4 linked regions of the Anolis sagrei genome follow. The protein of the gene in region 1 purifies or fractionates together with the protein of each later gene. This does not show direct contact. Links are inferred from orthologs where the notes say so. Each region holds a gene or a part of one and is shown on either strand. Other genes may lie near its edges. The genes, in order: AMBRA1, HSPD1, NEK9 and DNAJB1.

The links.
Region 2: the proteins of AMBRA1 (region 1) and HSPD1 purify together in Homo sapiens (affinity purification with mass spectrometry, with the first as the bait; 3 studies listed by BioGRID). This does not show direct contact. The link is inferred for Anolis sagrei from reciprocal best matches to the Homo sapiens genes AMBRA1 and HSPD1.
Region 3: the proteins of AMBRA1 (region 1) and NEK9 purify together in Homo sapiens (affinity purification with mass spectrometry; 3 studies listed by BioGRID and IntAct, with this or other methods). This does not show direct contact. The link is inferred for Anolis sagrei from reciprocal best matches to the Homo sapiens genes AMBRA1 and NEK9.
Region 4: the proteins of AMBRA1 (region 1) and DNAJB1 purify together in Homo sapiens (affinity purification with mass spectrometry, with the first as the bait; 3 studies listed by BioGRID). This does not show direct contact. The link is inferred for Anolis sagrei from reciprocal best matches to the Homo sapiens genes AMBRA1 and DNAJB1.

Annotation. Positions count from the first base shown.
Region 1 is NC_090021.1:279,053,304-279,061,264, reverse strand, and holds the start of AMBRA1 (activating molecule in BECN1-regulated autophagy protein 1), read left to right. Parts: upstream 1-4,814; 5' UTR 4,815-5,081; intron 5,082-7,961. UniProt on the Homo sapiens protein: Substrate-recognition component of a DCX (DDB1-CUL4-X-box) E3 ubiquitin-protein ligase complex involved in cell cycle control and autophagy.
Region 2 is NC_090021.1:178,708,988-178,716,419, forward strand, and holds the start of HSPD1 (60 kDa heat shock protein, mitochondrial), read left to right. Parts: upstream 1-4,299; 5' UTR 4,300-4,415; intron 4,416-7,432. UniProt on the Homo sapiens protein: Chaperonin implicated in mitochondrial protein import and macromolecular assembly. Together with Hsp10, facilitates the correct folding of imported proteins.
Region 3 is NC_090021.1:305,016,749-305,024,236, reverse strand, and holds the start of NEK9 (serine/threonine-protein kinase Nek9), read left to right. Parts: upstream 1-4,350; 5' UTR 4,351-4,478; coding exon 4,479-4,697; intron 4,698-7,488.
Region 4 is NC_090022.1:128,013,319-128,020,575, forward strand, and holds the start of DNAJB1 (dnaJ homolog subfamily B member 1), read left to right. Parts: upstream 1-4,230; 5' UTR 4,231-4,340; coding exon 4,341-4,551; intron 4,552-6,827; coding exon 6,828-7,257. UniProt on the Homo sapiens protein: Interacts with HSP70 and can stimulate its ATPase activity. Stimulates the association between HSC70 and HIP. Negatively regulates heat shock-induced HSF1 transcriptional activity during the attenuation and recovery phase period of the heat shock response.

The sequences.
Region 1 (7,961 bases):
AATAAACCTGTACTACAGGATTAAAACATCATTTGAGATTGCTGGCTGACTGTTAACAAAAACAAATTAAGGATTAAATTATAATCCAACCCTATGGTGTCTCAGAAATAAAACACTGTTTGTAATCAGGCTTCTTTGAAGTTTCTTTTTTGGAAGGAAAGTGGCCTCAACTTTTTCAAAGTAAGGTGAGTTTTCCAGGGTTTTTAAAAGCCTATAACTCCACAGCAGCATTTGCCAGCATGGTGAAAAATTAGGGCAAATGCAGTTCAAAAAACACTGGTAAGGACATGGTGCCCATCCCTCTTCTGAAGTACCATGAGGTTGTTCTTCTGTATTTTGTTGTTATGTAACTTCTAAAATGACCACATTTTTTCCCAAGTGTCTTGGTCTGTGTGATATATCGGCGAATAATGTGTGCAGATCCTTTGCAGTGGACAGATGGTAATTTTGTCAGCGCTGATTGTGTTTAAGTGCAGACCAAGGTCTTTAGTCACTGCACCCAGTGTTCCGATCACCACTGGGACCTTTACTGGCTTGTGCGAGTCTTTGTTTATTATTATTATTATTATTATTATTATTATTATTATTATTTGAAACACAACAAGATTAGTACATAGTAAACAAGATCACTATGCTGGCTGTTGTACTGGATCACATGTCGGACACATCCCAAGTGTCTAGGTCTGCGATATATCGGCGAATAATGTGTGCAGATCTGAGTAGGATGGCCTTTTGCAGCTGATAGATGGTAATTTTGTCAGCACTGATTATGTTTAAGTGCAGGCCAAGGTCTTTAGGCAATGCACCCAGTGTGCCGATCAATTAGATCAATTCCCAAGTATCTAGGATTACGTGACGGGCACAATTCAAAGTGCTGGCTTTAGCCTATAAAGCCCTAAATGGTTCTGGTCCAGCTTATCTATCCAAACGCATCTCATCCTACGAACCCACCAGGAACTTGAGATCGTCAGAGGAGGCCCTGCTCTTGTTCCCGCCTGCTTCGCAAGCACGTTTGGTGGGGACGAGAGACAGGGCCTTCTCTGTGGTGGCCCCTCAGCTGTGGAACTCCCTGCCTAGGGATATTAGATCAGCCCCCTCCCTCCCGACCTTTCGAAAAAGAGTGAAAACTTGGCTCTTCGAGCAAGCATTTGGAACCTCAGGATAAACAGACAAACTTGAATCGGAAAATGACTCAGGAACGGTTAAGACGATGGAACGGATGAGGATTTGAATATGAGGACATAGTTTTTAAAATGTTTATTATTCATTGTTTTTATGTCTCTAAATGTACTGTAATGTTTCTTTTTTGCTTTTTATCAATGTATGTATTTTATATATGGCATTGAATTATAGCGACTTTGTATGCCGCTCTGAGTCGCCTTCAGGCTGATATGGGCGGGATAGAAATAGTGTAAATAAATGAATAAAATAAATGTACTGGCAAATAATAATAATAATTGCTATTACCAAACACAAATATTATATAGGTCAGGCAAAGGCAAACTTTGGCCCTCCAGAAGTTTTGGATTTCAACTTTCACAATTCCAAACAGCCCACCAAATTATGCGAGTCCAAAACACCTGGAAAGCCAGTTTGCCCATGCCCGGTCTAGATGTTAGGAAGGATTGTATTGGTTCATGCAGATATACATGTATAGATATTTGTTTCACAGTCCCCCCCCCCCCCAATATTTTTATTAGATAGACTAGCCGTCCCCTGTCACGCATTGCTGTGGCCCTCATGGGGGTTCTGTGTGGGAGGTTTGGCCCATTTCTATCATTGGTGGGGTTCAGAATGCTCTGTGATTGTAGGTGAACTATAAATCCCAGCAAGTACAACTCCCAAATATCAAGATTCTATTTTCCCCAAACTCCACCAGTGTTCACATTTAAGCATATTGAGTATTCGTGTAGAATTTGGTCCAGATCCATCATTGTTTGAGCCCACAGTGATCTGTGGGTGTAGGTGAACTACAACTCCAAAACCAAAGGACACTGCCCTCCAAACCATTCCAGTATTTTCTGTTGGTCATGGGAGAACTGTGTGCCAAGTTTGGTTCAATTCAATTATTGGTAGGGTTCAGAATGCTCTTCGATTGTAGGTGAACGATAAATCCCAGCAACTACAACTCCAAAAAGACAAAATCAAATTTTGAGTGAAGGACATACATTGGGTTGTTAGGAGTATTGTGTCCAAATTTGGTGTCAATTGGCCCACTGGTTTTTGAGTTCTCTTAAGTCCACAAACGAACCTTACATTTTTATTTATATAGACTAGCTGTCCCTGCTACGCGTTGCTGTGACCCAGTCTGGTGATCTGGAAAATAAAGTAATGAGAAAGTGTCAGGAAGGCTCTGATTATGTTTTCTTGCCCCGGTGAAGGGATTGGACTGGATGGGCTTAAGTATTTTCTGTTGGTCATGGGGGTTCTGTGTGGGAAGTTTGCCCCAATTCTGTCGTTTGTGGGGATCAGAATGCTCTTTGATTGTAGGTGAACTATAAATCCCACTAAATACAACTCCCAAATGCCAGTGTCTACATCCCCCAAACTCCCCCAAACTGTGTTCATATTTGGGCATATGGAATATTTGTGACAAGTTTAGTCCAGATCCATCACTGTTTGAGTCCACAGTGCTCTCTGGATGTAGGTGAACTACAACTCCCAAACTCAAGGTCAATGCCCACCAAACCCTTCAAGTGTTTTCTGTTGGTCATGGGAGTCCTGTGTGCCACGTTTGGTTCAATTCCATCATTGGTGGAGTTCAGAATACTCTTTGATTGTAGGTGAACAATAAATCCCAGCAACTACAACTCCCAAATGACAAAATCATTTTTTTTAGTAAAGGACATACATTGGGTTGTTAGGTGTCTTGTGTCCAAATTTGGTGTCAATTCGTCCAGTGGTTTTTGAGTTCTGTTACTCCCACAAACGAACATTACATTTTTATTTATATAGACTAGCTGTACCCACTACGCGTTGCTGTGGCCAACCTTCCCTCTTTCCTTGCTTCCTTCACTCCCTCTTTCCTTCCTTCCCGTCTTTCCTTCTCTTCTTCCTTCTCTATTATCTCTTTCCATCCTTTCTCCTTTTTCTTTGTCTTCTGCTGTCTTTTCTTCCTTCTCTCTTTCCTTCCCGCCCTCTTACTCTACATCTTCCCCCCTTCCTTCGCTCCCTTTCTTTCCTTCTTTCCCTTTTTTCTTTCTTTCTCTAACTTTCCTTCCTTTCCCCTTTTTCTTTCCTTCCATCTTTCTCTCCTTCCATCCTTCTCTTTTTGCTTCCATGCTTCCTTCTCCCTTTCCTTCTTTCTTTCTCTCCCTCTTTCTTTTTTTCTCCCCTTCCCTCCCTCTTTCTTCCTTTTTTCTGTATTGTCATTTAGTATTTGGGGCTTTTTAAGTCCCTTCTGCTGTGTTTTTCAGTGTTTTTATGAGTCAAGGACTGTGCTGTCGCATGCTGGGCCTGTACATCAGACTGTAGACAGGACATAAATTCTGTGTGCCCAACAGGACGCCAGGGCTGCCTCAGATTAAAGGCCTTTGGATTTCCTTAAAACAGAGTCTTTAGATTGCTTAAAGTTTCAACAATGTTCTTTATTAAGGAAAACAAACAGATACTTTAAGGCTTTCTTAATGGTCTATCGGCTCTTTCAATCTTGTCCACAGGGAACAGGCACTATCTTCTTAACTGTAACTAATGGGGAAATCCTTAACTTCTAATCTGGGCAGTCTGTCTTTGCCTCTGTTGGCGTGGAGCCCCTGCACCCGGTACCAACTGCGTCTTGCTTCCGCGAGTGACCCTTACCAAGCAGAGCTTGGTAGACTTCCAGGGGGAAAAAAGGAGTTCAGGTTTCAATGATGGCTGGCTGATGTCCTTGAGCAAAGGAGCTGTAAGGCTGTACAACCCTGGTCAGGCTGTAGGCTGTATATCTCCCCGGCCAAGCCATAGAAGAGAAGACGAAGCTTTCTACAGGAGCTCTTGGTTTTATGTCCTGTGCGAAAGGCTTCTCTGTGTGGACTGAACTCAAAAAGGCTCCTATTCCCTCCAAAAACCCAAAGGGGGCGGGGCCAGGGAACCTAACTATAATGATTGCAGCCAAAAGAAGCCACCTATCTGCAGAGTCCCTGAAACTTAGGACTATAACAAACATTAAATGCAAAGTAAGGAAAATTGGAGCTCCTGGGACAGCTGTTCCAGAACAAGGACATACAATGGGTTTTTAGGTGTCTTGTGTCCAAATTTGGTGTCAATTCGTCCAATGGTTTTTGAGTTCTGTCAATCCCACAAACTAACATTACATTTTTATTTATATAGAATTTTTTACATTGAAAGTGGGAGAACATATTCATTTTAGATAGGAAAGTAGGAATGTAAAGAAACTGAGTGCGAGAGGAAAGAGAAGAACCCATAAGGGAATGGACAGAAATGAAAAAAATTAGAATAAAAAATAAAATAAAATTGTTGACTTCTATCTAAATTAGAAGGAAGTTTCATAGTTTTTGATGAATATATACATAAATAAATAAAAATAAAATTGTTGCCTTCCATCTAGACTAGAAGTTTCATAGTTTTTGATGAATATATACATTGAAAATAAAAAACATATTGATCTCCAAAACTAATTATCGAATCCCCCCCCCCCCTTTCCTTAAAAAATAATTTTTCCCCACGTTGGGAACCAGAAGTGAAGATGCCCCTTCAGATGCCAGCCTCCTCCTCCTTCTCCTCCTCCTATGACGAGGACTCTGGGCTCGCTTAGTTACGCCTTGCTCCTGTTTTATGCCTCGGCCGTTCGATTGCCTCGGCGTTCGCTGGCGATCCATTCGCTCGGCGCTCGGCTAGGCGCCCTGGCCTTGGTAGTAAGCGGCGAGAGGGAGCGAGAGAGAGAGAGGCTGCAGTGGGGAGAAGAGGAAGGCGGAGGAGGAAGAAGAAGAGAAAAAGAAGAAGCTTGCCGGCGGATTTGAGGCGTACTCTTCCCGGTCCGGACGAGGCCTTTCGAGTACTTCGGCCTCGGAGACCCCCGCACGACGCCTCCGGCCTTCCCGGCAGCCGGGCGCGCTAGGCCTCACCACCACTCCCTAGTTCAGGTAGGCTTCGGGCCTAGAAAGGCCGGGCCTGGTTCCTCTGAGGGGGCTCTTGAGGCGGAAACGGCGGCTCTTCAGGGTGGAGGGGCCCCCAGGGAGGTCTTGTGGCCTGGCCTTGAGGGCCGTCGGGGCCTTGAAGCCTCGGGGCGGCCTCCTGGAGGGGAGGCCGAGATCCCCGGGTGGGCGGGTCCCCGCCCACCCGGGGATCTCGGCCTCCCCTCCAGGAGGCCGCCCCGAGGCTTCAAGGCCCCGACGGCCCTCTCAGGAAACCCTTCAGTGCCTCAATCCAGGCCCTGAAGCCTGTCTCCCTGAGACACCCCTCAGGACGAGAATCCGAGGCCCACCCACTCGCCTTCCTCTTTCCCCCGTGAAAGAGGAACTTCCTCCTTTGTAAGTTTTTGCTTCATTGATAGTACTTACTAACCTTGTTGTTCTCTTTCAGAGCGCGGAAGCACAACTCTTTTCCTTCCCCCCGCCTTTTCCGACTCCTCCCATGTTCCCCCTTTTTCTTCTTCCTCAAAAAGATCCAGAGAAATTGAGCTTTGTTTTGGACACAGTACCTTAAACTAAGACCCAGGGCCCTTCCACACAGCCCTACATCCCAGAATACCAAGGCAGAAAATCCCCTAATATCTGCTTTATTCATTATTTTATTTATTATTTAAAACTTTTATATCCCGATCTTCTCAACCTCCATAGAGGGACTTAGACTGGCTTACTGCAAGGATTCAGTGGTAATAGTACAATCTAAAAACATCATATAATAACGAGTTAAAATACATGTCGATTAAAATTACAAATAAGCCAAATCACCAGGGTAAAATCATGTCCAACTCAGTCTGTATGTGTGGTCAATAACTTTGTTCTGTAGCCGGTTTCAACCATTACTCTGGGAATGCTTCCTTCCATAGCCAGGATTTCACCAGCCTCCTGAAGGACAGGAGGGAGGGGGCAGATCTGATCTCAATCGGAAGAGAGTTCCATAGCTGAGGGGCCACCACAGAAAAGCCCTGTCTCTTGTTCCCACCAGATGTAATTGTGAAAGTGGCAGGACCGAGAGCAGGGTCGCTATCTTGTCTCTCATTCCTGCCAGACGCGACTGTGAAAGTGGCAGGACTGAGAGCAGGGCCCCACCAGAAGATCTTAATTGTTTGTTGGTTCATAGGGGAGAATACATTCGGACAGGTAAACCAGACTGGAACCGTTTAGGTTTGAACTAGGTTATCTGAATCCACACATAGATAATATGGAATATTCTGCCTTGATGTTCTAGGGCAGGGGTCCTCAGATTTTTTTAAACAGAGGGCCAGGTCACAGTCCCTCAAACTGTTGGAGGGCCAGATTATAATTTGAAAACAAAAACAAAACATGATTGAATTCCTATGCACACTGCACATATCTTATTTGTAGTGCAAAAAACCCACTTAAAACAATACAATAATTAAAATGAAGAACAATTTTAACAAGTATAATCTTATTAGTATTTCAATGGGAAGTGTGGGCCTGCTTTTGGCTGATGAGATAGGATTTTTGTTGGGCTATTGTAGTTTTTTTCGGGCTATATGGCCATGTCCTAGAGGCATTCTCTCCTGACGTTTTGCCTGCATCTATGGCAAGCATCCTCAGAGGTAGTGAGGTCTGTTGGAACTAGCAAAAAGGGTTTATATATCTGTGGAATATTAAATATTAAAATAGAATTAAACATGGGTTGTTGTAGGTTTTTTCGGGCTATATGGCCCTTTGTCCCACCCTGGTCATTCCACAGATATATAAACCCTTTTTACTAGTTCCAACAGACCTCACTACCTCTGAGGATGCTTGACATAGATGCAGGCGAAACGTCAGGAGAGAATGCCTCTAGGACATGGCCATATAGCCTGAAAAAACCTACAACAGTCCAGTGATTCCGGCCATGAAAGCCTTCGACAATAGGATTGTTGTTGTTGCTGTTGTTGTGTGCTTTCAAGTCATTTCAGACTTAGGTTGCCCCTGAGTGAGAGCCAGGTAAATTATCTTAGAGGGCTGTATCAGGCCCTCGGGCCATAGTTTGGGGACCCCTGTTCTAGGATATAGGGCTGTGTGGAAGGGCCTCACAGAATACAAGCAGACCCCAGGTTATGAACAAGATAGGGTCTGGTAGGTTTATTCTTAAGTCGAATTTGTATGTAAGTTGGAACAGGTACATTTCAGCCAAAAAATCTATTTCTTAGCTTTGGCTAGCATAGGGAAGGGTCAGCACCCTTGTGGTGTTTGTTTCGCTGTCTGTGCCCCTGTTCAGAAGATTTTGCCTCACTTTCTGCCCCTGTGATTATTTCTTTATTTTATATTTTATTTATATCCCACTTTATCTCTTTAGACAGAGACTCGAAGAAGCCTTTTGGATATTGAAAAATGTATTTTTAAATTATTAAAAATTAATTGTATTTTGAGAAATGTTACTTGTGGAAACAGGAACTGGTGATACAGCAGTGGTTCCCAAACTTATTTTTGACCAGGAACCACATTGACCAAGGTCCGCTCTCCAACATTAGTATCAAAAGAGTTACAAATCAGTTTTTTGTCGACTTTAGATTTAAATTGCTTATTTGGGGTGCTGATTCAGAAAACTGCATTGGATAGAACACAACAGCTCTAGTTTCTGATACAGAACGCATGCAACCCAGTAGTCAGCATCTGCTCACCCACAGAAAACCATATTTAATAAGCCTCGGCACTATAAGAGGTTTTTACAAGACCAGGCACTCTCGTTGCAACAGTGTGGTAACAGTGAGGCCGCAAACCATATTTTAGTTCTTGTGGATCACTGGTGGTACATGGAACCAGGTTGAGAACCACTATGATACGGCTTCAGTTGAGACACCTTTTCCCCATGATAACTCTTCC
Region 2 (7,432 bases), about 100 Mb from region 1:
CAAACATATCTCCCTAATATCTAGCTACCAGTCCATAGGGCAGATATGGAACTTTGTGGTGTTGGCCCCTTCCACACAGCTTGATAAAATCCACATTGGACTGGATTATAGGGCAGTGTGGACTCAGATAACCATATTTTATTTAAAAGTTTCAAAACTCGTTCCCCTACTAAGAATTCTCACTCTTAAGTAAATAAGCAGTTTAAACGGCAATTACTATTGACAAAGTCAGCTAAACTTCTCTGGAATCAAGACTGTATCCAAAAAATGCAGACAAGTAAACTCCTTATGAGCCAGCGTGAGGTAGTGATTTGAATGTTGGGACTTCAGCTTTGGGGACCAAGATTATTTTCCTTCTAGTAATGGAAACCCACTGGGTGACCTTGAGCCCCAGAAACCCCTGTCATAAACTTACCTTGGGCCACCTTTAAGTTGGAAAGGGCTTGAGGGCACACAACAAACTCCTTACACTTGGAAAACTGAAAATGCTCTTTTTTAAAACACTACCGTAGTTGCCACCAATCTCTCATCAAGCACCAAATCCATTTAGATATGTGCACTACATGCTTCTTTACCACCACTGGGGCAAAAAGTAGATCCTGCACACTGAACGGCTGCAGAACATTAATCCACGTGTTCTGACCATCATGTGATCTTAGGCATTTTCAAACCTTAGTTAAGTTTGTCTCTAACCATGAACCCCTGCCTTCCATAACAATGTGTTTCCTCATGTGTAGGTTCCCACTTGAGAAAACAGATTGCAAAATTAAAGGATTTTGTCAAGTGTATTGAGTAAAAGAAACAATCAGAGGGCATGCAATTACAAGGCTGCTCAGAAATACTTCAAACACTGTAATGGAAATATTGGTGACCACGTATTTATTTATTTATCATTTATTTTGTTTATGGAGACTCAAAGTGGCACACAGCAAAAAACATTTCAACACAACTTAAAATATACAAATATTAAAATGGTTTTTAACATCATTCATATTAAAACAATCGAGGTTAAAAACATAAAAGCATATAAAATCACACCCCAAGGCCAAGATTTCTTAAACTGTGGATCCTAACCCCAAATGGGGTCCCATTAGCTCAATGCTGGGTGTCACAAAAAAGTAAAAAGCCAAAACATGGGCAAAAGTAAAAGTCTTCTGAGGGGCCTTCCACACAGCCATATAAACCAGAATATCAAGTCAGAAAATCCCACAATATCTGCTTTGAATGGGATTGTCTGAATCCACACTGCCATATATCCCAGGTCAAAGCAGATAATGTAGGATTATCTGCTTTGGGTCTGAATGCAAATCTATTAGTAACCAGGTGTAGTGCTTTCAGCCAATTGCAAAAAAGGCTTCATAAAAAGGAAATTCAGCCTGTTTAGCAAGCCCTGCAAGTGCAAATTTGTTAGCAGTAAATGTTGTATTTGTATACCTATTTTATATACCTATGTACCTGAGGTAATTTTTCAGCTGCTGTGGCTGAATGACCATCTGTCAGGGATGCCTAGACTTCTGTCTACACTGCAATATAAAATGAAGATTATCTGCTTTGAACTGGATTATATGGCACTGTAGACTCTGGGTCCTTCCACACAGGTGAATACAATCCCACGTTATCTCCTTTGAACTGGGATATATGGCAGTGTGGACTCAGATAACCCAGTTCAATGCAGGTATTGTGGGATTTTCTGCCCTGATATTCTGGTTTATATGGCTGTGTGGAAGGCCCTCATGTTATCCAGTTCAAAGCATATAATATGAGTTAGCTTCTTTGCTCATCTGGATTATATGGCAGTGCAGAAGGGGCCTTTGATTGTGTGTTCCTGTCTGGCAGAATGAGGTTGGAGTGGATGAGCTTTGGGGTCTCTTCCAAACTCTAGGGGCCCTTCCACATAGCCCTATATCCCAGAATAACATGGCAGAAAATCCCACAATATTGGTTTTGAACTGGGTTATCTGAGTCCACAGTCAAATAATGTGGGATTTCCTGCCTTGATATTCTAGGATAGAGGACTATGTGGAAGGACCCTAGGATTGAATAAAATATCTGGAAGGGTCAGTTGGTGTGAGTTTTCCGGGCTGCATGGCCATGTTCCAGAAGCAGTTGCTCCTGACCTTTCACCCACACTTAAATGCAAGGCCATTCAATGCTAATCAAGGTGGCCAATTGCAACATTCACACGTACCTCAAGCAGACAAGAGTTATTTCTCCCACCCTGGACATTATTCCACAGATATATAAACCCCACTTGCCTAGTTTCCAACAGACCCTTCATCCTCTGCCATAGATGTGGGCGAAATGACAGGAGGGCATGCTTCTGGAAAATGGCCATGCAGCCTGTAAAACTCACAGCAACCCAGCAATTCCGACCATTAAAGCCTTCGACAACACATCTGCAAAAGTATGCCCTCACCATCAGACATATCCTGACAGGAAAGATCCTTGTTGGGTTAGCTTGGAGTTTTTACATCTCCATGCTGCGTCCTTGAACCTTCTTCTATTCGCAGGAAAACCACGGAAATAGCACAATTTCTTTTGGAGGCTGTAGTGGCTGTGATAAGAGAACCCCCTCCTTTAGTATCCCCACGTGTAACTCATAAAGGGGGTAGGAGACGCCACAAAGGCCATCTAGTCCAACCCCAGAGGGCCCTTTTGGGTGGTCTCTCATTTATGTGAATCCATGGGCCCTTCCACATAGCCCTCTATCCCAGAATATGAAGGCAGAAAATCCCACATTATCTGAATGTGAACTCAGATAACCCAGTTCAAAGCAGATACTGTGGGATTTTCTGCCTTGATATTCTGGGATAGAGGGCCGCGTGGAAGGGCCCATGGATTCACATAAATGAGAGACCACCCAAAACTATAATTGCCCTGCTTAGATCCTGAAAACTCAGCACTATAGCTTCTTTGATTGAATCGTCTTGTGGTTGTGTGCCTTTAAGTAGTTTTTGATTTATGGCAAACCCAAGACAATCCTATCATGCGGTTTTCTCCATGCGGTGTCCTTGAACCTTCTTCTATCCGCAGGGGGAAAAGGAAAAAAACACAATTTCTGAAAACGGGGGCTCTTTTGAAGGCCATAGGTCCTTTCCTTCCCTTCCTTCCATGATATGTCTGGGTGATGATTATTATGCTATGTCTCCATGCTGTGCAGTCCTGGAAGTTATGGTTTCCCAAAGACCATATCCTTCTTTTGGTGCACTTACACTATGGAATGAATGCTCTTGGACCCCACTTTAAATATCATAGCTCCTTACTATGTGGTCCTGGGAATTATAGTTTCCCAAGGTCCATACCTTTCTTTGCCTTCAAGTAGTTTCTGATTTATGGCAAACCCACGACAATCCTATCATGCGGTTTTCTCCATGTTGTGTCCTTGAACCTTCTTCCATTCGCAGGAAAAAAGGAAAAAACACAATTTCTGAAAACGGGGGCTCTTTTGAAGGCCATAGTGGCTGTGATAAAGAGAACCTACTCCTCCAGTATCCCCACGTGTAACTCATAGAGGGGGTAGTAGGAGATCCACAAAGGCCATCCAGTCCAACCCCAGAGGGCCCTTCCACACAGTCCTACATCCCAGAATATCAAGGCAGAAAATCCCACATTATCTGAACCCAGTTCAAAGCAGATATTGTGGGATTTTCTGCATTGATATCCTGGGCTGTGTGGAAGGGCCCATAGAGAAGGACCACATATTTTTCCCCCTTCCTCCCTTTGCCTTACCATGGCGCGCGCCCTTCTGCTCTTTCCTCCTCGCGACGGCTCGCGCGCTCCGTCCAATCCGCAGAGAAGGAACGCACGTGAAAAAAAGGAAAGCGTGGCACACTGCGCATGCGCTCGCCACACCCCGTCCGGGATGGGGAACTATTGCTTCCTGTGGCTATGAAAGAGGGAACCGGGGGGGGGGGCGAGAAAGAAAACACCCTTTGGATGTATAATTAGTCAATTTCACACAGATCCTTGGCCGGGTTGCTTTGCTCACTCGCAATCCTCCTAGTTTTAATACTTTTCTCTCAGGGGGCAAAGGGGAAAGGCAGGGATGGCCTCCGGAAGTTGCGAAATGCTTCCCGCGACCTTTGGCGGAGCATGGGCCTACCAGAAAATTCTCGAACCCGGCGGCCCCGGAATCTGAATAAACCACACAGCGCGCGAGGCAAGCCTCGGCTGGCCCCGCCCACAGACTCACTCGCAGGAAAGTTGCGCCTGGGTGACGTCACGGCGGGAGGGTGTGCGGTTAGGCTGGTTCCGGGGCCTCTCCCATGCGGCCGGAGGGAGAGGGGAGAAGGGGGCGGGGCCGGAGGGTGCAGTCGCGAGACGTGAGAGTCGCGCGCTGGGGTTGCGAGCTGCGTGCGCGCGTGGCTCAGCAGCAGCTTCTCTGCCTTCCCTTGATCGTCCCGCTGCTCTTGCAAGTAAGTCCTCACATAGTAGGGGGTGCAAAATAAGGGGAAAGTCTCGGAGTTCTTTTCAGCCGTCACCCCTTCTGAGGAAAGTGGTACGGTCCGGCTGAGAGCGAGGGAAAGCGTGGGACTAGGGAATTGGTACCTTTGCGGGGGGGGGGGGGAATCTCTGAGTTTCCTTTTAGGTGTATTATGAAAATGAGTGTTGGTTTTATTTGCTTAGGAGTTTTAGAGTATAGCCAACGGAATAAAGGGTTGGACTGCGGGCTATATAAACCAGAATATCAAGGCAGAAAATCCCACGATATCTGGTTTGAACTGGGTTATTTCAATCCACACTTTGAACTGGGTTATCTCAATCCACACATTGAACCATATTCCAGTTCAAAGCAGATAATGTGGGATTTTATTCAGCTGTGTGGAAGGGGCCTGCGACTACTCCCATCCCCAGGATGATGTAATAATATCATAATGGCCTCTCAATACCATTTTAAGTGTTCTCACTACATGGTTATAGAATTTATAGATTATAGGGTTTATAATTGGAAAGAAAAGGCTAAATATCTCACAAAATGAAACATCCCACAGGAATGAGACATCCCACAGGGGGCAGTTTAAAGAAGTTATGATTCTGCAGCGTGGCTTCTAAGGCCCTTTCCACACTGTGGATTGTATACAGCTGTGTGGAAAGGACCCAACACTGCCATATTAAATCCAGATGATCTGCTCTGCACTGCATTATATGGCAGTGCAGACTCCTTTAATCCAAAGCAGATAAATGTGGACTATTTTCTTTTATAATCTGCATTATGTAGCAGTGTAGAAGGGAACTAAAAGTATTGAAGAGGCACGTGTTTCATTTGCCAGAGTGTGAGACAGGAGGCGGAATCTCTCACAAAACTACACATCCCAGAATTGACTTGGTTTAGAATTGGGCTGGTCCCCCCCCAAGCCCCACCTGTTATTTTCTCCAGCAGTAAGATGCAGTGATTGCTTATTTAATTAATGCAGTTTTCTAACGTTGGCAGTCTTTAGGAAGAGCTTGAAGATGTGGTTGTTCCAGTGTGCCTTCCCAGAATAGGAAACTCCAAGCATCATGTCTCAAATGCACATTACTAGAGATTTAAGATTAATTGCATACTGCATCTATCTCCAAAAACCATTTCACTTGATTATGTCCAGCATTTTTAAATATTTTAATAATTACATTTGGCCCGGCCTTAGATTTTAACTGTGTCGTGGTGTTATTGTTGTAGTTGTTATGCTATTGTTTTACTGTTGCATTTGGCCTCGGCCTCTTGTAAGCCGCACCGAGTCCTTCGGGAGATGTTAGCGGGGTATAAATAAAGGTTTATTATTATTGTTGTTGTTATTATTAAACAGAGGCTGGGCGACTAGGAACAATGGCTTTAAATGACAGGAAAGGAGATTCCATCTGAACATTAGGAAGAACTTCCTGACTGTAAGAGCTGTTCAGCAGTGGAACTCTCAGCCTCGAAGTGTGGTGCAAGCTCCTTCCTTGGGGGCTTTTAAACAGAGGTCAGGTGGCCATCTGTTAGTGATTACATGCATGTGGTCTCTTCCTCCTCAATGTTTCTGAGACAGGTTGATTACACATAGGAAGCCCTGGAGGTCATGAAGGACTTTCTCTTTGCACGCCTTTTGCGGGGGTTTCTTGTCTTGGGAGGTTATCATTAAATGATCAGGGTAGAAGGGGGCCTCCGATGAGCCTTTATGAGCCTTGATCTGTGTGTTACTTTTCAAATTTGGGTGCCTCTGGCTATGTAAGAGGAGGAGTCTGCAAAGGTGCTTGCAGCGCCGCTCTCCGGCCTCCAGGGGGCGCACAAGGCCTTTCTCTTCCTCTTTCCATTTGACCTTGTGCGGCGCGACCGGATGGCGAGGAAAGCGCACGTGGGGCCCCAAGATATGCTTGGCTTGCTCCTTGGACTTTCCCCTCTTCTGCCCACCCACACCGCCCCCTTTGCATCAAGTTGTACTCCCTTTCTTCTTCATTGCTTCATTTTATCTTCTACCCAAGTTAACCCATCTACCAGAGTCCATGCTCTTGCTTTCCTCTGACTTTGATACAGACTCAACCAGTTTTGAGATGAAAGGCGGGGTGGGGTGAAAGAAGTTGATGGTATTCAGTACTTCCATAAAGTTGTGTACCTTTTTGGAGTTGTTACCAATTCATACTCAGACAAACTCTCTATTCTGTTTAGAAACATTCTCTAATTGTTTTCATTCTTTGACTATCTCCATCCTTGCAGTGCATACCAAAAATCGTATAAAAGGCATGGGCAAACTTCAGCCCTCCAGGCGCCTTGGACTTCATATCCCACAATTCCAAACAGCTGGTAGGAGATTAAGTCCAAAACACCTGCAAGGCCAAAGTTTGCCCGTGTGTGAACCATAAGCTCCATATTTGGTGGATTCAGCAAGATTTGTTCAGCAATGAATGGCCTTGGTCTTCCTCTGAGGCTGAGAGAGTGTGACCAAGCCACCAAGTGGATTTTTGTGAGCCAAGATTTCAACCCCTGTCCCTCAAAATCTTGGTTCAATACATAACCACTACACCAGTGGTTCTCAACCTGGGGTCCCCAGATGTTTTTGGCCTACAACTCCCAGAAATCCCAGCCAGTTTACCAGCTGTCGGGATTTCTGGGAGTTGAAGGCCAAAAACATCTGGGGACCCCAAGTTGAGAACGACTGCACTACACCATCCTGGGTCACCTAAGATTAGTTTCAGTAAATTGTGCTTCTCTTTCCCCACCCCCCACTTCGGTCCAAAGGCAAAGAGATCATAGGAGGAAATGTGCAAAAGGGTTTTTTTGGAGGGGGGGGTGAAAAAGCTCAATGCATAGCTCTCTCAGACACCAACTGTAATAGACACTGTTGGAATGAGATACGGGGTCCATCTACACTCCGGAATTAATGTAGTTTGGGCCCATTTTTGCATCCCTGGTTCAATGCGATGGAACCCTAGGAGTTGTAATTTGGTGAGGCAGAGAAAGCACATTTCTAATAAG
Region 3 (7,488 bases), about 26 Mb from region 1:
CTCTGAACAAACCTCTGAAGATGTTTGCCATAGAAGCAGGCGATATATCAGGAGAGAATGCTATGGAACATGGCCGAAAAATGCAAAATGCAGGGCAACCCAATGATTCTGGCCATGAAAGACTTTGACAATGCATTGGTTTCCTTTGCTTTGAGACAGTTTAGAATGGTCCATTAATACTGCAAGATTATAATTTTAAAAGGGCAATGAAAGGAGCTTAGAATAATGTATCTATTGTTATTTATTGTTAATATAACTATCAATGGCTTGTTTAATAAAGGTGTTGTGTTTTATTTCAATGAGAAACTTCCAAAGTGCCTCATCTAAATGTAATAATCTCCACCTACAGACATCCTATTTATGTGATGCCACATAAATGAATGCTTAAATACACATCATGCAATGTGTGACAGTCTCACATAAAGACAACATTATTTCCAGACTGTACTGTAGTAATAGAAGTATTGGATTAGGTTCAAAAGTATCAAGTTTAAATTGTCATGCAGTCAAGAAGATCACTGGCTTTTGACTAGTCTGTATCTCTCAGCCAGACTTATCACACAAGGGAGAAATAGAAGGGTGGCTTAGAAACAATACAAATAAATGAAAAATAAAATAGGTGAGACAGAAAATTAATAGGATTACGCAAGATAATAATTGTCAGAAATGTTACACTCTCAATACCTGCTTAATGTTTTTTAAAGTCAGCACAAGATTGCTTTCTCATTGTTGCATCACTCCTTGCTTGGGAAATGGTTATGCTGCTGGATTCCTTCCTGTCACGCAGCTGCTGAAAAGAACAGGAGCTGTGCCAGAAGAAAATATTCACAATGCTAGGAAATGGCAATGCTGACTCTGAGCCAAACTTCTATCATACAATGTGCTGGTATTGCTATACAACTTGTTTCTAGATCCATGTAAAGTAGAGGTGTGAAATGGGTGAGCTTCCATCTGTCATCTCCAGCTTCTCATACAGAGATATGAGAGACTCCTCCCACAGAATGGTAAAACATCCGAGTGTCCACTGGGCAATGTCCTTGCAGATAGCCAATCCTCTCACACCAGAAATGACTTGCAGTTTCTCAGATCGCTCCTGACACGAAAAATAATTGTCTTCACTTTCTCTCACACACTGAACTCAACCCTTTTTTCACATACACTAGTCCCCCCAGTCTTCCTGGAATATGACATTATGGATAAATTAATGAATTAGTTTGACTTCACTTTGACTGGCATCTTTCCACGCTATGGAATCCCAGGAGTTGTAATTTTATATTTCTTGACTTCTGTGCCAAGGGTGCGAATGCATCCCCAAGCTACAACTCTCTGAATTCCATAACATTGATCCAGTTAAAGTGGTGCTAATCTGCATTAATTCTTTTGTACAACTTCACCTTATAAAATCTTCCCTGAAGTTTAATGTCTAAAGCTTTGTGCCATGCATTTCTTTCAGGAGTGGAAATTGTGCAGCAATCCAGATTTTGATGGACTACTGTTCCCAACAACCTTAACCAGCAAAGTCAGTGCTGAGGAATACTGAGAATTGCAGTTCAGCAAGATGTGGAGAACCACCAATTTCACACCTCTACTTTGTGCATTTACTGTGTTATAACTGAGTATTATAAAAAGATAGAGATCCACCCAGGTTTCTGTGTACACTGATTATTGTCCTGGAGGAAATATACAACTAAAGGTTGGTGTAGCTGGTGCAGCCAGGTGTAGTGATTTGAAAGTGAAACAATGACTCTCCTCCTCAGTTATGGAATTCCACTGGATTACCTTGGACAAGTCACACTCTCTCAGCATTAGAGGAAGGCAAAGGTATTCCCCCAAATAAATCTTGCCAAGAAAACCCCATAATCAGTTCATTTTTGACTCACCATAAATCAGAAATGATGTGAAAACACCTAACAACGGTGTATACTGTTTTTGTCTATGGGGATGGAATATTTCTAATCTTTAAAAGAAGCACGCTTGCATTGCAAATGTCTTATTTGCAATGCTCCAATCTCTCTGCAGCAGCTGCTGATTGAAGCAGTGAGGTTTCCCCTTCCCCAACCCAGATTTCTTTAGTAGTTTCTTCTAATAAAGTTTCTGGGAAGCCTGAGCACATTTGTGTGCTCTTTCGATTGGTCCAATAGAAATATTACATAAATACAGATTTTTAAACTAGTTTCAATAAGTTCTCGTTTGTATCGGCAGATACATACATTTTAAGATGATAAAACAAAAACTGGAGAGCATAATAAGCTTTAAGTGGAGCAGCAAAAACGGAAGAACATCACACAAAATCCAAAAGATAAAGGGAAGACGGAAGATGCTCTGAATTCTTTATTTATAATTTTAATTCACATGTTTTCATTTGATTACCAAATGGTATTGGGAGTCCCTTTATCAGAAATTTCAAGGGATTTTACTAGGTATGTACAAGGTATTAGTAATGTGTTAATGCAATAACATGTAAATATAATAACACTGACCTGTTGTATTGCTGGTTCGGCTGCTGGACAAGACTTGGGGAGATCAGGGTTTAGATCTTTACCCAGCCTTTCATAAGTCATAATCAGCTTTTGAGGAAAATGACAAAACTCCTGAATAAATCTTGACAAGAACATCATATCACAGGGTCGCTGTAACTTTGGGTTGACTTAAAGGTACACAACAAAAACAATTTATAATATTATTTAATTAAGCATTGTCCTATTCCTCCCACATCACTTGAAAACGGCCTTGGAATATTAATGTGTCAAAGCATGTTGGGTTTTTTTTAGTGAATATTTATTCCAGCATCTGGAAGTATGTCTCCCCTTTCTCTTGTGTATTATCATAACAGCAGCTATTGATTGTCTTATAATGCTGTGTTTCCTTAACATATCTTGTCACCATTCTCTATCCCATCTTGTAGGTGCATACTCAAGAAGTTGATGTAGAAGGAATAAAGAAATGGGGGTGTCATAGGGAGAGCAATGAAGGGATGGAGAACTACCTCTCCTCCAAACCTGGAGATTGAGGATCCCTTATTTTATTTTTTAAAGAGAAAACTTTTCTTGCTTTTGAAGAAAAAACTTCTCATGAAACTAGATAGAATGTTTCAAAGTGCTGCTATCTAGTGAGCCAAGTAATTTCCCTTCGGCAGGGAGAGAATTGCTGGGGAATAGAAGCTACAGAAAGAGAAAAAAACTGCCCTCCCTAAGGCAAGTAAGCCATGCGGGGATACTAAAACAAATTGCAGGAAGATCACTACCCCTCATCTTCCATTTCCTTTTTTCAAAAGTAGGATAATAGTGGCCTGCTGAGACCTCTTCCACACAGCTGAATAAAATCCACACTATCTGCTTTGAACTGGGATATATGACAGCATGGACTCAGAAAACCCAGTTCAAAGGGATTTTCTGCCTTGATATTCTGGGCGATATGGCTGTGTGGAAGGGCAACAACAACATGAGGCTGTTAGGAATGGTGGGAGCTGAAGTCCAAAACACCTGGAGGGAGGGCCCAAGTTTGCCCAGGTCTGGTATATAAATGTAGTTTCTTGAGGGCCAGTATGGAAAAGACCTGAGGCTGTCAGGAATGGTGGGAGCTGAAGTTCAAACCCCTGGAGGGAGGGCCCAAGTTTGCCCAGGCCTAGTATATAAATGTAGTTTCTTGCGAGCCAGTATGGAAAGGGCCTGGGAGTGTTAGGAATAGTGGGAGTCCAAACCCCCGGAGGGAGGGCCCAAATTTGCCCAGGCCTGGTATATAAATGTAGTTTCTTGAGGGCCAGTATGGAAAGGGCCTGAGGCTGTGAGGAATGGTGGGAGCTGAAGTCCAAAACCCCTGGAGGGAGGGCCCAAATTTGCCCAGGCCTGGTATATAAATGTAGTTTCTTGAAGGCCAATATGGAAAGGGCCTGGGAGTGTTAGGAATGGTGGGAGCCGAAGTCCAAACCCCTGGAGGGAGGGCCCAAGTTTGCCCTGGCCTGGGTAGCTTCTTGAGAGTCAGTATGGAAAGGGCCTGAGGTTGTTAGGAATGGTGGGAACTGGAGGGAGGGCCCAAGTTTGCCCAGGCCTGGTACATAAATGTAATGTTTTGAAGGCCAGCATGGAAGGGGCCTGGGGCTGTTAGGAATGGTAAGAACTGAAGTCCAAACCCCCTGGAGAGAGGGCCCAAATTTGCCCAGGCCTGGCCCAAAGTCTTACAAGAAACGGCTCCGTTCCTCCACTTCCTCCGCCGAAGGAAAGGCACCCGATGCTGGAGTGCTTCCGGGTCAGCGGGAGGCACGCGCGGGGAGGGGGGGGGGTCGCGGAGAGGAGGAGGAGGGGGAGGAGAGGCCGCGAGAGGGGAAGGAAGGAAGGAAGGGGGCTCGTGCGTATATGCGCATGCGCAGGGGGCCAGGCCCGTTCTGCCTCGTCGAAGGAGTCTGAGGGAAGGAGCCGCCGCGGGAGCAGGAAGCAGCCCTGGCTTCTTCCCCCGCCGCCGCCGCCGCCGCTGCTGCAGCCATGTCCCTGGGCCAGTACGAGCGGCACTGCGACTCCATCAACTCCCTCGACTTCGATAACGACTCCTCCGGCCGCAGCAGCAGCAGCATTAACAGTATTAACAGCGCCCCCCGGCCTGCCCCGGCCTTGGCTGGCGAGCAAGAGGAGCTGCACTACGCCCCCATCCGCACCCTGGGCCGCGGCGCCTTCGGGGAGGCCACGCTCTACCGCCGGACGGAGGTAAACACTGCCAAGGAATGCCATGGCTCGTGGGAGATGTAGTTTTTCAAGGCCTTGCCTGCCAAAGAGCGCTGGGGCCTCACCAGACTACAACTCCCAGGATTCCATGGTAGTCAAAGGGTTCCTTAATGGTACAGCAGGTATGGGCAAGCTTGGGCCCTCCAGGTGTTTTGGACTCCAACTCCCACCATTCCTAACAGCCTCAGGCCCCTTCCTTTCCCCCCTCAGCCGCTTAAGCGGCTGAGGGGGGGAAAGGAAAGGGCCTGAGGCTGTTAGGAATGGTGGGAGTTGGAGTCCAAAACACTTGGAGGGCCCAAGCTTGCCCCTACCTGTGCCACAGCATAGGTGTGCCCCAGGTTTGTTGTCATGTAAAAGTAGCGCAAGGGAAATTGACACACAAAGTGTGATGTCATGTCACATCAAAGAAAGTGGACAGAATGGAACTCATATTGAAATAACATAAACACAAATGGGAATCATGATGTGAGCAGAATTCAAAACAATCTTACCAACCAAGATCACTGCACGCTGCACTTACTTTATAATCCTACATTCCTTCCGGCACTTCAGCACTTTTAACCCTGTACCCCTATCCTGGCCGGCCCAGTTTTAATAGTGTCTTGTTGTATTGTTATTGTTATTGTTTTCTGCTTTACTGTTTTAATTTGCTTTAGGTATTGTATTGTTGTATTGTGTTTTGTGGCTTCGGCCTGTGTAAGCCGCATCAAATCCTTCGGGAGATGCTAGCGGGGTACAAATAAAGTTATAATAATAATAATAATAATAATAGTAATAGAGAGATGATTGGCCAAAACTAACAAACTGAAGTTCAACAGGGACAAATGCAAGATACTCCATTTAGGCAGAAAAAAATGAAATGCAAAGATACAGAATTATTATTATTATTATTATTAACTTTATTTGTACCCCGCTAGCATCTCCCGAAGGACTCGATGCGGCTTACAAAGGCCAAGGCCTCAAAACACAACAATACAACAACTAAAGCAAATTAAAAACAATTAAAGCAATATTAAACAACAAGCAATAGACAATACATCAAGACACTATAAAACTGGGCCGGGCCAGAGTAACGGGTACAGGATTAAAAGTGCTGATGTGACAGGTGATATGTAAGGATTATAGGGTAAGTGCAGTGTAACCTTTTAATGCATGTTCTTTGTTTGATCTCTGTTTTGTCTGTTTTGATGTGTATTTTTTAGAGGTGCCTTTTGGTGTGTGGTGTTTATGGAGGTACATTTTATTGTATGTATTTGTAGTGTTTTTGCTGTGTTTATATATTTCGTTTTGTAACCCACCTTGAGCCAGGAGGAGAGGCGGGTAAGAAATAAAATTATTATTATTATTATTTACCTTAATTCCTCATCAAAAAAGAAACCATCCCCTTTTCTGAGTAGAGTGGCAAAAGGAAAGCACTTAGGCCCCTTCTACACTGCTGTGTAATCCAGAATCTCAAAGCAGATAATCCATATTATCTGATTTGAACTGGATTATATGAGTTTACACTGCCATATAATCCAGTTCAAAGCAGATCATATGTATTTTATATGGCAGTGTAGAAGGAGCCTGAGTCTACCCCTGTAGAACCTAAAAGAAGCAATGATCTCCTCTACTCTCTCTGCTATGGCACCACTTCTGGCCTTTTTGAGGCCCTGGCTGTGGAAATAATAACAACAATTATATATTAATATTAATAATAATAATAATAATAATAATTTTTCTTTATTACTCACCTCTCCTGATGAGAATGGTGGCGGAGGCCAAGGGCAGCTCGCCCTGGGGTAGCATTGATGCTTTCCCCTCTCTGCAGAGATACTGAATAGATAGTTCAGTTTTAATTTGTGTGACAAGATTTGTTGCTCACAGATTTGTGACCAGAGTTGTGTCTTATGGTTTAGAATAAGTCTTTACAGAATCTGTAGAATCATAGAGTTGGGAGATGCTACAAGGATCAACCAGTCCAACCTCCTTCTGTCACACAGGATCATAGAATCAAAGCACTCCCAACAGATGACCATCCAGCTTCTGCTTAAAAACCTCCAGAGGAGGAGACTCCACCACACTCCCAAGGAGGTAGCATGTATCACTGCCAAACAGCTCTTACTGACAGGAAGTTCTCCTTAATGTTTTGGTGGAATCTTCTCTTCTGTAATTTGAATCCATTGCCCCGTTGTGCCCTTATCTTTGGAGCACTAGAAAACAAGCTTGCTTTCTCCTCAAGCTGGAATCCTTTTGAAAATGTAAACCTGGCTGTCATGTGTAGAATGGCCCTCATCTTATCAATGGGTTGTATCAAAACCCATATTTTTTTCACCCAAGACCTACCGTGAACACATACACGAGGTCAGCTTATATGAGTATATACGATAAATTGTCATCCAACTGTGTTTCCATATACAGAATCCTTTCTAATCTGTCTGCCTTTTGTCCTGGCTGCCAAGTTTACCCTTTTGTCAGATAGGGCAACATTTATCCCATATTTTGAAATAAGGAACTGGAAAAGGACAGATATTTCAGCTAGCTTTCTACTTGCTGTGGATGGTCCAGATAACATTTTTCCAACTCCCTGTCTCCCGACAATTATTTTCTGTCTTCTAAATGCCTACGTTTCTGGACTATTATGGAGTACAAAAAATAGTTGGCAGTTGTCATCCAATCAACATGTGGTTTCGTGCAGATGTGAAATCTTTATTTTCAAAATATTTGAGAATGGTTTTTCTTGAGAAATGAACTCAAGAGCTCCTCACTTGTCAGTTTATTTTTACATTTTCTT
Region 4 (7,257 bases), on another chromosome or scaffold:
GGGTTTAGCAACAGGTGATAATCCAACAATAATCCAAATGTCTCATAAAGTTCCAGAGGTGATAAAGTCCAGGAACAACCAGGAATCACAGATACAGCATAAGTCCACAATCAAGAAGGTATAAATAGTAAAACTTGAACAGGAACATAGAAAACTTCAGGCTATATCAAATTCAAAATCAACGCTTGACTTGAACCAGGAACAAGAGAACTCAGATTTAGTTTCTCACTCTAATGCACCATTGCCTGGAATGACCTTAAGGTAAACAACTTGTTTAATAGACACCCATGAAATCATTCTGTTTCCCGTGAATTTCCTTCACAACTTTCCCACGTAATCTCTCTGAACGACGCAATCTATTTTCAGCTGTTCTTTGTAAACAAAGACTTTTGTTGATCTCCGTAGCTACAGGTGGATTCCCCTGGAAAGCCTCTTTATCACTCAGCTCTTCACTCGATTCGTTATCTAATGTCGCACCTTTTTATTCCCCTGAATGTCCTTGAGGCCCTGCACAGAATCACAGAGATGGAAGAAACCTCATGGGCCATCCAGTCTAACCCCCTGCCAAGAAGCAGGAATATTGCATTTAAATCACCCCTGACAGATGGCCATCCAGCCTCTGTTTAAAAGTTCTAAATCATCGGTTAACCCACCAGCCTCTGGCAGCTGATGTACAACACAGCTATATATAGTGTAGTTATATAAAATTGTATAATCAAAGTTTGTTGGGAGGATTCTTTTTAAATATTTTTAATTCGTGGGTGATTGAATCCATAGTAAAGAATCTATGGATACGGAGGGCTAGCTGTATAGAAACGTGGGTTAAGGCTTATCAATCTGCTACAGACTGCACACATCTCAAAACTACTTCCCTTTCAAAAGGCAATGGGAGGACTCCATTTATAAATACTGTGCTAGTTAGATATTCGGGCGTTGGAAGAAAGACGGAAACAGGGGAAAACATTGCAATTATTGTTTGATGCTATCTGTTTAGATTTCAGTGAGTCCTCTGTGGTAATGATTTGATCTTTCTCCCTTGACTTCTGGGAAGGATCTCTCTTAGATCTCATCTTATGCCGTCTCAAACTGGTATTGAAGAAAGTGTTTTCACTGTGCAGATGATTACATAGGAAATCATTAAATGATCAGTACAGACGGGACCTCAGATTGTGGACACCTTGAACAATGGTATCAATCAGGAATGAGTGTTTCTTAACACCTAGAAGCTGTAAACAAGCCAGCATTGAAGTGACTTTTGCCACTTTTTATCTGCTGCCTGGGAGAAGAGCCAAGGGCTGGACTGCAAACTGGAAGGCAACCTCCCTCCACCATACCAGCCCCACCCAGGGGTCAAATTAAACACCATAGAGAAGCAGTGCCAAGGAGGTGAACAAAGAGTGGAAATTCCTGCGTAAAGTCCCATTACGGAAGCACTGGGTGCTCTTTGTTGTCCTCCTGGGATTTCACCGTCCTGAATCATTAATTCAATGTCGTCTACAAGTACAGTGACCGAGTTTGCTAACACGGTGAAACCTATGTTGGGTCTGGGCATAATTGGGAAGAGAACCATACTTCCTTTACACCATTTTTGGTGTGGCATTTTGGAATAATGTGCACATTTTTGGTCATGGAACCTCAATATATAATACAGTATGGTACAATCTATATATAAATTAAAATGTTCGTTTGTGGGATTGACATAACTCAAAAGCCACTGGACAAATGGACACCAAATTTGGACACAATACAAGAGTGACCATCACTCATAAAAAACACTGAGAAACACAGCAGAAAAGACTTAAAAAGCCAAAAAAAATTAAAGCGCATGCGCAAAACCACATATACACACACATACACACACATAAAACACATATACACAAACTGAGCCACAGCAATGCGTGGCAGGGGACTTCTAGTCTATATAAATAAAAATGTAATTTTTGTTTGTGGGATTAACATAACTCAAAAACCAGTGGACAAATTGACACCAAATTTGGACACAATACACCTATCAGGCCAACAAGTGACTTTCACTCATAAAAACACAGTGGAAGGGACTTAAAAAGCCAACAAATAAAAAAAACATCCACAAGTATATACACATATACATAAATATATACACACATACATGCACATATACACACACAAAGCACATATACAGAGACTGGGCCACAGCAACGCGGGACAGTTAGTCTATATAAATAGAAATGTAATGTTTATTTGTGGGATTAACATAACTCAAAAAGCACTGGACAAATGGACACCAAATTTGGATACAATACACGTATCAGGCCAACAAGTGACCATCACTCATAAAACACTGAAAAACAGCACCCAGGGGGTGAGAGTTTTTGACTTAAAATGCCAAAAAACAAGAAATGTATTACACCGCATGTGCAAAACCACACACATATATATACACAAACATACATATGTACGCATATAAACAAATATATACACACTCAAAACACATCTACACAGACTGGGCCACAGTCATCAAGTAGATGATCCAAACATGAGCAATCCAAATGGTTACAAAATTTGGTACTTCTTAATTGTGAAGAAAAGGTACGTAAGAAGAAATGTTAGATATATTTCCAAATAAACATGGGGCAGGTAGCAATTAAAAAATGGAGGTGGCACCTGTCAGAGCAACAGGTGGTCTTGGGGATAAGAACCCCCTCCTCTGTTAAAAAACAATGCATAGAATCATTGAAGAACAGAATTGCAAGGCCATTCAATGCTAATCAAGGTGGCCAGTTGCAACATTCACACTTGCCTCAAGCAGACAAAAGTTCTTTCTCCCACCATGGACATTATCCCACAGATATAAAAACCGGTAATAGTATGATAGCTGGGTCTGGAAACTCTGAGTGTTACGGAGATGCCGCATCGCTCCTTTGGGAGCGCTGTTTGCACAAGAGAGACTTAGCTAATGTAAGCCAGGCCTGAGACAGATACTCTAGAAGGAATGTAAGAGTTCTTTAATGGTGAAACTCTAACCCTTACCCTAACCCTGATCCGTATGCGTAAGCCTAAGCCTAACCCCTACCCAAACCTTACCCTAAACTGTACTCTAACCATAACCCCCAACAGTAACCCTAACCCAAAACCTTGCCCTAACCCTAAGCATGCCGTCCTTTCTATCCTTCCTTCGCTCTCCCCGCTCTCTCTCCGCCTCCTCTTCCCTTATTCACAACTGCCTTTGCAGCATCTCCGTAATGCTGAGCTTCCGGGCCCAGCTATCATACTATCACCTAAAAAGCTCACTTGTCTAGTTTCCAACAGACCCCTCAACCTCTGAGGATGCATGCCATAGATGTGGGTGAAACGTCAGGAGATAATGCTTCTGGAACATGGCCTTACAGCCCAGAAAACTCACAGCAACCCAGTGATTCCATGTCATGAAAGTCTTAAACAACACAGAGCTGGAAGAGACCACATGGGCCATCTAGTCCAACCCCTGCCATGCAGGAAGAGCACAACCAAAGCACCCTCAACAGGTGGCCATCCAGCCTCTGTTTAAAAGCCTCCACAGGAGCCTCCACCACACTCAGGACAGAGTTCTACTGCTGAACAATTTTTTCTCATGTTCAGGTAGATGCATCTACACCAGTGGTTCTCAACCTGTGGGTCCCCAGGTGTTTTGGCCTACAACTCCCAGAAATCCCAGCCAGTTTACCAGCTGTTAGGATTTCTGGGAGTTGGGGGCCAAAACATCTAGGGACCCACAGGTTGAGAACCACTGATCTACACTGTAGAATAGATGCGATTTGACACCACTTTAACTGCAATGATTCCGTCAAAGGAATTATAGCTTTACAACGCCTTCTTTCTTCTTTGAGAGCGCTGGTGACTCTCCAAACTACAAGTCCCATGATTCCACAGCACTAAACCATGGTGCCAAACCGCATTCATTCCACAATGCAGATGCACCCAGAGCTGTTTCTAACGGAAGAGGCGGCTCTCATTCCCAAAGGCCACACGTTTCTTTTGGCACGCGCCACTCCTGGCCCGTCCACTGTCTGCGCGCGCATCTCAAGAACCCCGAGCGCGAGGACCGTTGGCGGCCCAACGAAGAATGCCCCCCCTCCCCCCGCCGTTCAGTCCCAAGGTGGGCGCCCTCAGCCGTTAACTTCCAAGCTTTGCCCATCCCGCAGTCGATCCCCATTGGCGGAGAGAACAGAGTGCTCGATGGCGATTGGCTAGGGCAGAAGGGATGGGCGGGGCCGAGGCGGAGATTGTTGTGGCAAGCTCTGGAAGATTCCTCCGCCCGCAGTATAAAACCGGAGGGGACGCGCCCGGCCCGGCATTAGAACCCGAGGCGGTGAGGGCGAGCCATGGGCAAGGACTACTACCGCACCCTGGGCCTGTCCCGCGGGGCCAGCGACGACGACATTAAGAAGGCCTACCGGAAGCAGGCGCTGCGCTACCACCCGGACAAGAACAAGGACCCCGGCTCCGAGGAGCGCTTCAAGGAGATCGCCGAGGCCTACGACGTGCTCAGCGACCCCAAGAAGCGCGAAATCTTCGACAAGTTCGGCGAGGAAGGTGCGCGGGGGCCGCGGGGTGGCCGGGGGGGGGGGGCAGGAGGGACCTGCGCATGCGCCTTGGCGTCACATTATTCGCCACGGCTCGATTCTTCAGAAAGCGTAGTTTGTTGAGGGACCAGCGCTCTTTGGCAGCCAGGGGCCTTGTCAGCAGCTGCCAGGGATCCATATCGTTAAAGTGGGCTCCAGCCGCATTCATTCCACAGTGTAGATGTAGCCTGGAGTGTAGCCTAGAAAACCAGCTTCAGCTTGGTTTGCTGTGAGTTTTCCGGGCTGTATAGCCATGTCCCTGACGTTTCATCCACATCTATGGCTGGCTCAGGTTGTTGATTCCCCTGCCATTCACGAGAAAGTACACAGGGAGTTTGCGTTGTGGCACCAAGAGCAGAGGAGAGAGAGAGGGGAAGGGTCTCTTTTCAGCACATCTCTGGGTATTACTTCCTGTAAGGTTTTAATCAAAACTAATAACTGGCTAAAGGCCCCCCTGGTGCTGCAGCAGATTAAACTGCTGAGCTGCTAACTTGCTCACCGAAAGGTTGGCGGTTTGAATCCAGGGAGAGGGGTGAGCCCCCGCTGTTAACCCCAGCTTCTGCCAACCGAGCTATTTGAAAACATGCAAGATGTGGGTAGATCAATAGGTACCACTTCTGCAGGAAGGTAATGGCACTCCATGCAGTCATGCCGGCCACATAACCTTGGAGGCATCTATGGACAACGCAGGCTATTTGGTTTAGAAATGGAGATGAGCACCACCCCACCCCCCCCCCACCCCCCCAGAGTTGGACATGGCTAGACTTAATGTCAAGGGAAATCTTTATCTTACTAACACTGGCTAAAAGTGAGGAATGATGAGTAGAAAGCAGAATATTCACACACAGGTATTGGAGGCAATCCGTGTCCCCTCTTGCTGAAGTTCCTTTGACAAACGTTGCCAGTTTGAGTTGTTCTGCCCTGATCTCGCTGCCCAGGCAAGACCTTCTCGATTTTGAGATGCCTCCTTCTGTCTACTTGATGATCACCCCCAATTTCCAGAGCTAGTTGGACGCCTTTTCCTCTGGAGCAACTGTTAAGACGATGCTGAAAACTCACAGCAAACCAAGCTTTTTCATGAAGGATGAAGTAGAAAAAGCAGACTGTTAGGAATTGGGCGAGTTGAAGTCTAAAACATCCTGGAGGGCTGAAGTTTGCCCATGCCTGAAGTAGAAAGTGGACGAGAAGGGCTGAAGAACGAGTTATTTCACTTTGTGGTTCTGGAAAGCAGTCCAATGTTGAGTTGCCATCTTTAAATAGTTCCAGTTATAACCTCCAACATCCACTATTATCTAAAGCAGTGGGTTTCAGATTTTCATCCCCCAGGAGTTTTGGACTTCAACTCCCAGAACTCCTAGCCAGTTTACCAGCTGTTAGGTTTAGTGGGAGCTCTAGTTGAAAACATCTGGAAGACCAAAGGTTGAGAACAACTGATCTACAGGCTCTTCCTGATAGGGAAGGCTACTTTGAAATCACCCAGATTTAGCAATAATTATAGCCCTCTTGTGTAGGATTTCTGTAGTGTCCTGCTTTGCATATCAGTCTCTTTGTGTCTTCAGGGATTTGTTTTTGCTTTGTATGTTTACTTTCTTGTTCTGAAGAACATCCACCCCTTCCGTAGAATGTTGAAATGTTTAGTGCGTAAAAGAGAAGCTCTCAACTTATTTATACAGATTGTGGTAAATTTCCATAGCTTTTCTGTATTGTTTCGATTGCACAGCTGGCATTCATGGAACATTCTGAGCATTTTCCTTTAAATGGGTGTTGTAGTAATTTGGCTGCATCTATTGGGCTGCATGACAGGCTGTCTGAGATAGGTGGAGCTTTTGTTACACAAGTCTTCTAGTCGTTGCTAGAATATTCTAGCATGTTCTTGTGCTTATCTGTTGCAGTGCTACCTTTTCCTTAGTAGAACTGTTTTTCTGCAAGATTTATACTTATTAAAGTATACAGATTAGGTGAAATGCATTCTGAATTGAGCTTTGTATCCAGGAGCATGGATTTAGTAGATCTTGTGAATAACTGAGAATTGTAGTTTTTTTATATGATTTGGACACTAGGGTACACAACACACAAATGTACTGAAGTTAGCTGTTGGGTGTGAGATTTGTTCGAAGTATTTCTAATTACCCTTATGCAGTTGTTTGACATGTCTGTAAAATGAGTAAAAATAATACTTAGGCTTTTTTGATATTGAATGATAATGTAACCTGAAAGCTGAGGCTTATTGTGTTTCCTATATTGCAGGACTAAAGGGAGGTGGTCCCAGCTGCAGTGGAGGTGGTCCCAATGGCACTTCATTCACCTACACCTTTCATGGAGATCCTCATGCCATGTTTGCAGAATTCTTTGGTGGGCGGAATCCTTTTGATACGTTCTTTGTTCAGAGGAATGGTGACGAAGATATGGACATTGATGACCCCTTCACGGGTTTTCAAAACTTTGGCAACATTGGCTTTTCCCGTGCTCGTGGGGGCCATGAAAATGTTCGCAGGAAACCAGATCCACCCATCACTCACGAGCTGAGAGTATCCTTGGAGGAAATTTACAGTGGATGCACCAAGAAAATGAAAATTTCTCACAAACGGCTAAATCCAGATGGAAAAACGACACGCAATGAAGATAAGATTCTAACAATTGATGTCAAACGTGGCTGGAAAGAAGGAACTAAGATTAC